Mus musculus: one gene and its partner. The protein of the gene in region 1 interacts with the protein of each later gene in a pairwise test. Links are inferred from orthologs where the notes say so. Each region holds a gene or a part of one and is shown in the gene's direction. Other genes may lie near its edges.

The links.
Region 2: the proteins of Dmpk (region 1) and Hspb2 interact in a two-hybrid assay, tested with the Homo sapiens proteins (2 studies listed by BioGRID). The link is inferred for Mus musculus from reciprocal best matches to the Homo sapiens genes DMPK and HSPB2.

What each region holds. Positions count from the first base shown.
Region 1 is NC_000073.6:19,081,778-19,087,371, forward strand, and holds the start of Dmpk (myotonin-protein kinase), read left to right. Parts: upstream 1-2,080; 5' UTR 2,081-2,217; coding exon 2,218-2,377; intron 2,378-4,208; coding exon 4,209-4,300; intron 4,301-4,554; coding exon 4,555-4,638; intron 4,639-4,711; coding exon 4,712-4,807; intron 4,808-5,050; exon of another isoform or gene 5,051-5,115; coding exon 5,116-5,264; intron 5,265-5,462; coding exon 5,463-5,556; intron 5,557-5,594. Other genes in the region: Dmwd (dystrophia myotonica WD repeat-containing protein), read left to right, coding at 142-216, 499-546. UniProt on the Homo sapiens protein: Non-receptor serine/threonine protein kinase which is necessary for the maintenance of skeletal muscle structure and function.
Region 2 is NC_000075.6:50,749,845-50,754,376, reverse strand, and holds Hspb2 (heat shock protein beta-2), read left to right. Parts: upstream 1-2,022; 5' UTR 2,023-2,106; coding exon 2,107-2,200; intron 2,201-2,429; exon of another isoform or gene 2,430-2,475; intron 2,476-2,643; coding exon 2,644-3,098; 3' UTR 3,099-3,305; downstream 3,306-4,532. Other genes in the region: Cryab (alpha-crystallin B chain), read right to left, coding at 900-1,100. UniProt on the Homo sapiens protein: May regulate the kinase DMPK.

The sequences.
Region 1 (5,594 bases):
TGCCCTCAGTCCTTCAGTCCCTTGCTTTGGAAGGCTAGAGTCCAGAAGCCTTAGAACGTCAGGCAGTTGCAGAGCCACTGCCAGGCTAGTAGGGCTGCGGGAGTTGACTGAGTTCTCACAGACACCCCTCTGTCTCCCTAGTTCACAGACGAGGAGACCGAGGCCCAGGCAGGGCAAGCAAGTTGGCCCAGGTCACCCAGCAAGTCAGTTGTAGAGGTAGGACAACCCCTGAAGCTGCAAGTGGACCCCAGTTTCTTTTCTCTCCACTGTCGTCCCCTGTATGCCCAGGACACCTGGGGCCACATTACTGTGGAAGTGCTACTCTGGGTCAGTGGAGACGGCCGAGCTGTTTGTTCCTAGCTAGGACAGCAGCTTTAGGCCTGGGGGGCAGATCCCAGCTGGGGCAGCAGCTCCAAGGCCTTTGGGTGGCTCCTTCTCCGGGTTCTGGCAGAAGCCCAGGTGCTGTCTAATCCACCTTTCTCCTCTTGTTCTCCCCAGGGCATCTCCTCCCAACCAGGCAGCTCCCCCAGTGGCACTGTGGTGTGAAATGTGGATGTCCCATGTTCCCGGCCTCCTAGCCATAACCCTCCCCGCTGACCTCAAGAATCACTGTATTAACAAGACTAATCATGATGGAAGGACTGCTCCAAGCCCCACGCTGCACACATACTGGGGGTCCCCTAGGTTGGCCCAGCCATGGGGATGTAGTGTCCTGTGTGGCCTTGGCCCTGTCCTCCACCCACTGCCAAGTACAATGACCTGTTCTCTGAAACATCAGTGTTAACCATATCCCTGTCCCAGCATGTGACTGTTCACTCCTGGGAGAGACTTAGCCCACAGTACCCCTGGGTGAGAGGGCAGGGCAGGGGCCATCCCCACTCCTGCCCAAACTCCACCCCTTGCTATGGTCTGTGATTTTGAAAGTGTTAAATTATGGAAGCCCTGAGGGCCCTCCTTGTTCCCCTGGACCTCTTATTTATACTAAAGTCCTTGTTTGCACAGTGTTTCTGTTCCCTGGGGCAGGGTAGGGTGGGGGTTGCAGTACTTGGCCTCCAAGCTGTGCTCTGACCAAAGGAAGCCCAATCTTAGCTGTTTCCCCATCCCTAGCCCCGAGCAGAGAGCCCTCTGAAAGATGAGTCTCGACCCCCAAAGTCAAGAGGCTGAGATGGCCTTCCTACTAGGTCCTTGGAGATGTTTGAAACTTGTTTTAAACACCAGGACTATCCAAGCATGCTCTCCTTGGGGAGAGGAGGATGCTGGAATTGACTGCACTCCCTGCCTCCTCTGAACATGCCTTTGCAGTCTGCTGCCCCTGGCCCATTTATGACTGGCCATCTAGTGCCAGCTGGAGGTCATGATTTCCTCCCCAGAGAACTGGCCACCCTAGAAAGAAGCTAACTTGTCGCCTGGCTTGCTGTCCAGGCAGCTCCGCCCTCAACCCCTAAAATGTTTCTGTCTCTAATCCTAGCCCAGGCAGGAATGTGGCTGCCCCGGCCTGTGGCCAAGGAGCTATTTTGGGGTTCTCTTTTGCTTAAGGAGGGCCTGGATCCACCACTTGCCTCCCCCAGGCTGGGGCCAGCAGGTCACCCCTGGCCCTGGCGGCTGAGCAAACTCTCTCCTGATCTTCCTTCTACCTCCTGCCAAAAAATGGGGGGGCGGGTAATACAGCAGGCACAGGGGCTAAATTTAACTGTCCCAAAGTCGGAATCCATTGCTGAGTCACGAAGAAGCTGCCCCTGGCCTTTGCCCCCCCCACTACCCCCTCACCCCCTGTTGCCCAGGCATCAGCCCTTTCCCCCAACCCCTCCCAGCTCTGAGTCTATAGACTGGCTCTCCTGGGCACTGACACCTCCCACCTGTAACTCCCTGTGCTCTCTTTATGGGTGGGTAGAGTCAATGGGGGGGGGCAACCCTGGAGTATTACTCTGTCCCCTGACATTGGGCTCTGAAGAGTTTTGAGGGGCCCTGGAAGAAGGGAGTTGGGGTGTTGGCTCAGGAGGGGTTAAAAACTGGGAGGCGGGAGGGGGGCTGGGCCAAGGGGTGGAGAAAAGAGGAGGAGGCCTTAAGCATAGAACTGGCCAGAGAGACCCAAGGGATAGTCAGGGACGGGCAGACATGCAGCTAGGGTTCTGGGGCCTGGACAGGGGCAGCCAGGCCCTGTGACGGGAAGACCCCGAGCTCCGGCCCGGGGAGGGGCCATGGTGTTGCCTGCCCAACATGTCAGCCGAAGTGCGGCTGAGGCAGCTCCAGCAGCTGGTGCTGGACCCAGGCTTCCTGGGACTGGAGCCCCTGCTCGACCTTCTCCTGGGCGTCCACCAGGAGCTGGGTGCCTCTCACCTAGCCCAGGACAAGTATGTGGCCGACTTCTTGCAGTGGGGTGAGTATGGATAGGAAGCCTGGGGTTGGGTGCAAGGCAGAGGTGGGTCTACAGGGCAAGAATGGGCTATGGAGGGGCAGGAGGGCCTGGAAAGGGCTTTTTGTAAGGGAGCCAAGCAGAGCTCATGACCTGACCCCAAGCTCCCCTGGTGAGGCACCAGGGTCAGTGAGGCCACCTATGACTCAGCCAGTGCAGGCTGGGGTGGGCATAGCCTCCTGCTATCTCAGCACCCACACTAGGACCTGGCAGCTTTCTCTTTTAGGACCCTTGGCTCCTCAAACTGGCTTCATAGCCCTCCCCAGTTTCCCAGAGTGTGGGGAGGGACAGCGTGGGGCAGCTGCCAGGGTGTGGCCCATAGGCAGGTGTTTGGCGTCTGCCTCCCCAGCTGCCCTGACAGGTGTCCAGGAGCTATGAGGGCACTGTGACTCACAGAGGCCCTGGGGGAGAACCAGCCCGGCAGACAGGCGCCACCGAGCACCCTTTCTGTTCCCCAAATTAAGAGGAAGGAACAACTTCAGCTTCTGAGTGTGCCCATCCCTAGCACTCTGATCCCGCCCAGCCTTTGTGGGCCAGATTGGTCATCCCTCCTGGCTTCTCATCTGCTTTTGTGGTTCTAGCTCAAGACCTCTAATTCCTCTGCTGACTTAAATGCCCTTCCCCAGAGGTCTTCTCAGGCCTAGTGGACAAGCTTGGAGCCTTATCTGCTCCTGCCCAACATTGAGCCAAAGCTCCAGCTTACCCCAGCTTCCTTACAAGTAACGACCTGTTTTGTTGCTCTGTGCCTATTATTAAGGGTCCAGGTCTTGATTCTTGGCTGTCTGCCCATGTGTGTGACCCTAGTGCATTCTCCCCTCCTCCCCCGTTTCACAGATGGAAAGGTTGAGGCCATCGGTTAGACTGCTAAGCCTGTGAAAGACTTTTTCTCCTCTCCAGTCTTTAGTGTCTCCCTCAACCTTTCTTTTGAAGGATGGGGTTTGGGCTGGCAGGGTAAACTGAGAACTGGGGTGGGGGCAGGGGGTCTGACCCTCTGGGAAGGAGCAGTCCTTTTGTGGCCTGAGCAGCATCCTGTGGGCCCCTCCCCTGCCAGGCCTGGGCGGGGGAGGGGGCCTGGGTTCCCGCTGCCTTAAAAGGGCTCAACGCCTTGGCTCTCTCCTCCTCCCCACCCCCCAGCCTTGGCCCTAGCTGTATCTTCCCCGGCTGCCCACTTTCCCAAACCCCTTTCTTCTCTGTGACCCCATCTCCCCGCTTCCCCACACGTCCCTCCTCCATCCTTACTCCCCGGCCTTAGAACTTCCCTAAGGGAGATCTGACCTCCCTCTGCCCACCCCGCACCCCCAGTCGCCAGCCTCAGACCTAGCTGCTCTCCCCTCTGGCTGAACCACCCTAGCACAGGACCTTATACCCTGGAGCTTTGGTTATAAGAAGACTCTCCTTCACCCTTTGGAAACCAAGAAAGCCCTTCCAACAGTGTCCAGGATGCTGGAGGGCAGTGACCCTCCCCCACTTCTTCTTCGTGCTGGCTGTGCTGACACAGCTCCAGTTCGAGGTTGTGGCCCGAGACATTAAGTGAGAGCCCCGGGTGACCTGACTTAGCACCCTGATCATCACATGGGAGTGAAAGGCCTGATGCGCCAGCTTCTCCCACTGCCTCCCTTTCTGCCCTGCAACCCTGTGGAAACAGGCAGTTCTGGGTCCCACAAACATCACAGAGGTTTTGAAAGCAGAATCCTAAAGCCGATTTAAGGGGCAGAAGGAAGGAGGCTATAAAGTCACTACCCTTACCGCTAGTGTTCTGATGACCCTTGGTTCTTCTTCCCCCACCCCCGCCCAGTGGAGCCCATTGCAGCAAGGCTTAAGGAGGTCCGACTGCAGAGGGATGATTTTGAGATTTTGAAGGTGATCGGGCGTGGGGCGTTCAGCGAGGTGAGTCTTCAGTGGCCTGGGAATGGAACTTTACTTGATGTGGGTGGGGCATAACAGCTGGGGCAGAGCCTTAAAAATTGATGAATGAGCTTGAATTTAAGGCTGGAGGGGTGGGGGCGGAGCTTGTGGTCAGTGGGCGGTGTGCACGTGAGGGCGGGGCTAAGGTTGGGTGGAGATAAGGGTGGAGTCCTGTCTGGGTGAGCCTTGCTGGTTTTCCCTGCCACCTCTTGCTGTCATCTCGGTTCCGTATTTAGGTAGCGGTGGTGAAGATGAAACAGACGGGCCAAGTGTATGCCATGAAGATTATGAATAAGTGGGACATGCTGAAGAGAGGCGAGGTGAGGGCCAGGGATTAGGGCAGCGCCCTCATCTCTCCAACTCACCTCCTGTAGCTTCTCTCCTACCTCACAGGTGTCGTGCTTCCGGGAAGAAAGGGATGTATTAGTGAAAGGGGACCGGCGCTGGATCACACAGCTGCACTTTGCCTTCCAGGATGAGAACTACCTGGTAAGCTCCGGGTTCAGGTGACTAGGAAAGAGTGACAGTTACATCGCCCCAAGTCAAGAAGGCTGGAGAAGGGAGAAGCTGCTGTAGATCGGGGGGGTGGGGGTGGGGGGGACACACACAGGGGATGGGGGACGGGGGTAGGATTGTGTCTCAAGTATAGGAGAGACCTTCCTTGAGACAGGAGTGATATCTGGTTTGGCCTTTGGATGGGGCGCTCTCTCACTGTGCGGGGGTCCTCTGTGCTTGGGAACGGGGTGTCTTTGGGAGTCTTGGGGGCTACCAAACCCCTGTGACACACCCGCTCCCAGTACCTGGTCATGGAATACTACGTGGGCGGGGACCTGCTAACGCTGCTGAGCAAGTTTGGGGAGCGGATCCCCGCCGAGATGGCTCGCTTCTACCTGGCCGAGATTGTCATGGCCATAGACTCCGTGCACCGGCTGGGCTACGTGCACAGGTGGGCGTGGCGGGGCCCTTGGAGGGTTAGCAGAATTTGTGTGGGAAGGAAGGGTACCTGAAGGTCAGATCCCATTGGGGACAGAATCGGGGTCTAGAATTGTAGAATCCTGGGTGGGGTGGAAGTGGATCGAGCTGACGGGCCCTAAGAGGGAAGGTTTTCAAGAAAGCACACTTTCCCTCTTCTCTCTATGCACAGGGACATCAAACCAGATAACATTCTGCTGGACCGATGTGGGCACATTCGCCTGGCAGACTTCGGCTCCTGCCTCAAACTGCAGCCTGATGGAATGGTAAGAAGAGCCTGGCGAAACTCTCCTCATTGGTGAAG
Region 2 (4,532 bases), on another chromosome or scaffold:
CCCCTCCCCTTTGAATAGCGACTCTGGTGCATGTGAGCTACCGTAGTGATATGCAAAGGACGCCTCTTGGTCATCAGTCCCAAACTTTTCTTAGAGGCACAGGGAAGAAGACAGGTCATTAGGGGACTAGTCACAAGGATGGATCTGGGCATGGCATCTGCTGCCTCGCTCCCCAATGCTGGCTTTGTCATTTGTCTATAAGACAAAGGCCCCCTTTTCCTTGTTCAGCTCCCTGCCAAGTTTCCAACCCACTCGATCTGGAATGTTCTGCTGGTCCTGTCCTTCCAAAGCCCTTGCTCACTCAGCTCCTGTTTCCTCACACTCGAATATTTTTAAACCAGAGTGTTATCTGTGACAGCTCTGTTAATCTTATCTCCCACCCAGTTAGGATAAGTCAGGGTTTCCCGAGAGTGGTCGGACAGTCACTCCTCTTAAGGCATGGACTGAAGTTAGTGCACTGTCTCAGCCCCAAGGAACCCAGAAAATCATAGACAAGGGATGAGAGAGAGAGAGAGAGAGAGAGAGAGCAGAAAAAGTCCAGGATGAGTGGGTTTCTATCTGATCTTTACAGTTTGAGATGATAAAATCCTCCCAGACCATGACTATTGAAGAGGTAAGTAAAGGAGCTGAAGCAAACCAGAAATAACAGAAATAAGCATCCTGCTCCATCATTAGGAGACAGACTATGACCCTCACCATGCACAGAAAAATGGACCAGGAAACCGAGCATCAAACAGAAACAGGTGCCCGAAGAAAGAAGAAAACAGTAGCTTCATTTCCCCTCTGTACCTTAGCACACACTCACAGATGCCTAAAATGGCTTGGGGGTGGGTGAAAGGGAAAAGGGACTGAGGGTCCAGGACGGACACTCACCCCTGCCCTGGCATAGGCAGACTCACCTCTGAGAGTCCGGTGTCAATCCAGCTGGGTGCCCGCAGGAAGGAGGGTGGCCGAAGGTAGAAGGGGCTCAGGGAAGTGGCTGTTGAGAAGAGGTCAGACTCCAACAGGTGCTCTCCGAAGAACTGGTCGAAGAGGCGGCTTGGGGAGTGGAAGGGGAAGAAGGGGCGCCGGATCCAGGGGTGGTGGATGGCGATGTCCATTGTGGCTAGATGAATGCAGAGTCGGTTGGCTGGTCAACTCCTTCAGCAGCAGCTCCAGCCGGCCCCTTATATATGCAGTCTTCTGAAGCTTCTGGAATGGTGAGGTCAGGGGTTTTATTATCCCAGCTCACCGCCAGTTCATGGAGACTTGTGATCAGGGATTTGGCAGGGTGACACATACCCGGTACTCACTGAGCTAAGAAAAGAGAAACACAGGCAGGGCTGAGCTGACCGGTGACTTGTCATGGTCTTGTTTCACTAGCTCTCTGTCCACACCCAGTGGCACCCACCCCATCCTTGTTCTCTGGAGCTAGGACGGAGCCTGGAATCCCAAGCAGCTGCTGGTGGGCCCCTCCTCCTCTCCAGTCTCGCATGCCAGGGGAATTGAGCCAGCAACTATCTTGGGCCTGGGCAGGGACTGGAATCTTCCTAGGCTTAGCCCCAGGGACATTAACTCTTTGTGGAGTCCTAGAGGAGAGCAGAACTAGGTGTCTGACTGGAACCCTGAGCTGATCTAGGTTCAGAAGACACTGACCTTACAAAGACAGAAAATGTTTCTTGCATTGTGGATGCTATGTGGCTCATAGAACATTAAGTCTTTTTTTTTTTTTTTAAGTAATGTGCACAGTGCCTGAGACTGAGAAGGACAAAGGGTGATGTGGAATGTACAACTGGTGAAGGCCCAACTAGGCCTCTCCTTGCCCTCCTGCAGAGCAGGAGCTCACTCCAGGACCAGGACCCTCAGCTGTCCTACCAGGCCCCTGCGACAGCTGAAGGGTGTGCAGAGGAGGGGACTTAGGGGGTCCAGGCTGATCACACCCTCATAGCTGCACTCTAGACTTAGGCTCCCAGCCCTCCCCCACCCCCAGAGGCTCTGCACTATTTTGGGTGGTGTAGACCCCGCCCCCACTCTGACTGAGCCCTGGCTCTCCCTGAAGCCGGTGGGGTCGCCTTGATCTTGTTGGGGCAGTACTTGGGATCAGGGCTACTAGTCGCAACAGCAGTCATGTCGGGCCGCACAGTGCCACACGCCCACCCAGCCACTGCCGAGTACGAATTTGCCAACCCCAGCCGTCTGGGCGAGCAGCGCTTCGGAGAAGGTAGGACTCAGATGCTGCCTCCCACCCCCACCTCCTGAAATTCTGGGCTCACTGCCCAGCTTTACTGGCCTCCACTCTACCTGGGGCTTAAGTGAACTCCTGAGGTGAACCATCTCCCATTCCAGATTCCCCCGTCAAGCAAGACTCTCTCTGGTCTTGCTACAGACCTCAGGATAAACTTTAGACCGGTAGGGTTTTGGGTAACTGGGCTTTGCAGGCTTCAGAGTACCTTCTGATTTCGCGTCTGTCCTCCCAATTCCAGCTCGCTTCCTCCATGGCTATCTCCTTTCCTTTCCCAGCCCCTCTTCAGCAGTTCCCACCTGCTCTTCTGGCCCATGTCTCCAGATATCGCCTTTCATCCCTGTGCCCACTGCATCCACCCTCATCCTGCCTCTTGCTTTCTCTTTCTCTTTCTCTCTCTGCACCCCCAACCCCCCAACCAGGCCTCCTGCCAGAAGAGATCCTGACCCCCACCCTCTATCACGGCTACTATGTTCGGCCTCGGGCCGCCAGAGCTGGCGAGGGCGCCAGGGCAGGGGCCTCAGAGCTCAGGCTCAGTGAAGGCAAGTTCCAGGCGTTTCTGGATGTGAGCCACTTTACCCCAGATGAGGTGACGGTGAGGACTGTGGATAACCTGCTGGAGGTGTCTGCCCGACACCCCCAGCGTCTGGATCGCCACGGCTTCGTGTCCCGAGAGTTCTGTCGCACCTATGTCCTGCCTGCAGATGTGGACCCCTGGCGGGTTCGAGCTGCTCTATCCCATGATGGCATCCTTAACTTGGAGGCGCCGCGGGGTGGCCGGCATTTGGACACGGAAGTCAATGAAGTCTACATCTCCCTGCTTCCTGCTCCTCCTGACCCCGAGGAAGAGGAAGAGATAGCCAGAGTTGAGCCCTGACTGCCAGCGATAGACCCAGCACCCAGTGAATCCCCTGTCTACCTCCCGTGGTGATTCCATAAATCCACCACACCCCAGAGGGAGCAGCATCCCTGGGAGATGGCATCGGTGCATGGTCCACAGTGTATGGTTTGGTCCCTTGATGTATCAAAGCCTTTGATTTAATTCTGGGTGGGGCTGAATAAACCAAAACCTGGGGGCCTTGTTTGTGCTGCTTCTGTTCTGTTGCCTGGAAGACCCAATGGCAAACCGGTGGGCAGAAAGAAGGTCCTAGGCAGCTATTTCCACTGTGAAATATGCCCATCGTCTCAGCATCCTGAGCTCACACTTGGATGCTGAGATCACACCCGGAAGCTGACACTGGCTCCGGATCAAATTCCTCGCCATAATTTTCTCACAATGCAACAAAAGAGAGAGTGATCCTGGGAGGGCTAGGGACAGGCCATCCAAACAGCCCAGAGGGCACTGTCTGAGCTGGCGATTAGAGACACAAAAACAAGGGTCTCCAGGCTGTCTGGCCCTTTTTGGGTAGGGGTTAGGAAAAAATTTTCTTTTTTTTTTTTTTTTGGCTGGAGAGAGTTGCCTGAAGCTCTGGAGTGAGTGTTTTGCTCCTCACATCAATGGGGTGTGTGTGGAAAGGTCTCTGAGAGAGGGGAGGCGTGCCCATACATGGGTACGGCAGACACATTAATCCACCATTATCACTGAACCTACGTACGACCTTCCTATTTGAGTACAGGGAAGACCCGTGCAAGGAAGCAATTGTGTCTGATTTTGTAGTAACCCACAGAGAGAGGAACCCTACAACACTATACCTAATCTAAGACTCTCAATGCAGTTTCTACTTCCATATTGTAGTGGGCATGGTCAGGAAAGGCTGAGGTGATTTCAGTGCTGGGACTATGGTGTGTTCAGAAAAGTCAGCCGGTACAGGTAGGCTGTAACCATTCTCTTTACAACCAAGAGAGTGTCATACATGTGTATGATTTGAGAGGTATCCAAAAGGTTTCCTTTTAGTCATTTGTAGATATCTATGAGTGAATATGAATGTGAATGAATTATACATTCCATGTTATGGTGGATAGTTGAAATTCTTTCATTAATGTGGTTGTTTCTTGGTTTTTGGGGTTAAATTTTTTTATTTGAAACCCAACAAAATCTATTAGTCCTCTTACTGGAAAAATACACACATGCAAATTTATCAACAAAGTTTTTGAGATCCATTCATACCCCTCTCGGGGATGTGTGGACCCCTGAGGTGAGAGCTTGTCTTTAAATAATTTGATTATTGGCTTTAAAATCGTTTTCCTTTCCAAACAAAAGCATGACCTGGAGTGGTAGAGTGCTTGCCTGCCAGGCAAAAGGCTTAGTGAGTGAGAGCCTAGCACGCCACAGAGAACCAGTGAAATGAAAGCACACCTCAGAGAAACAGCT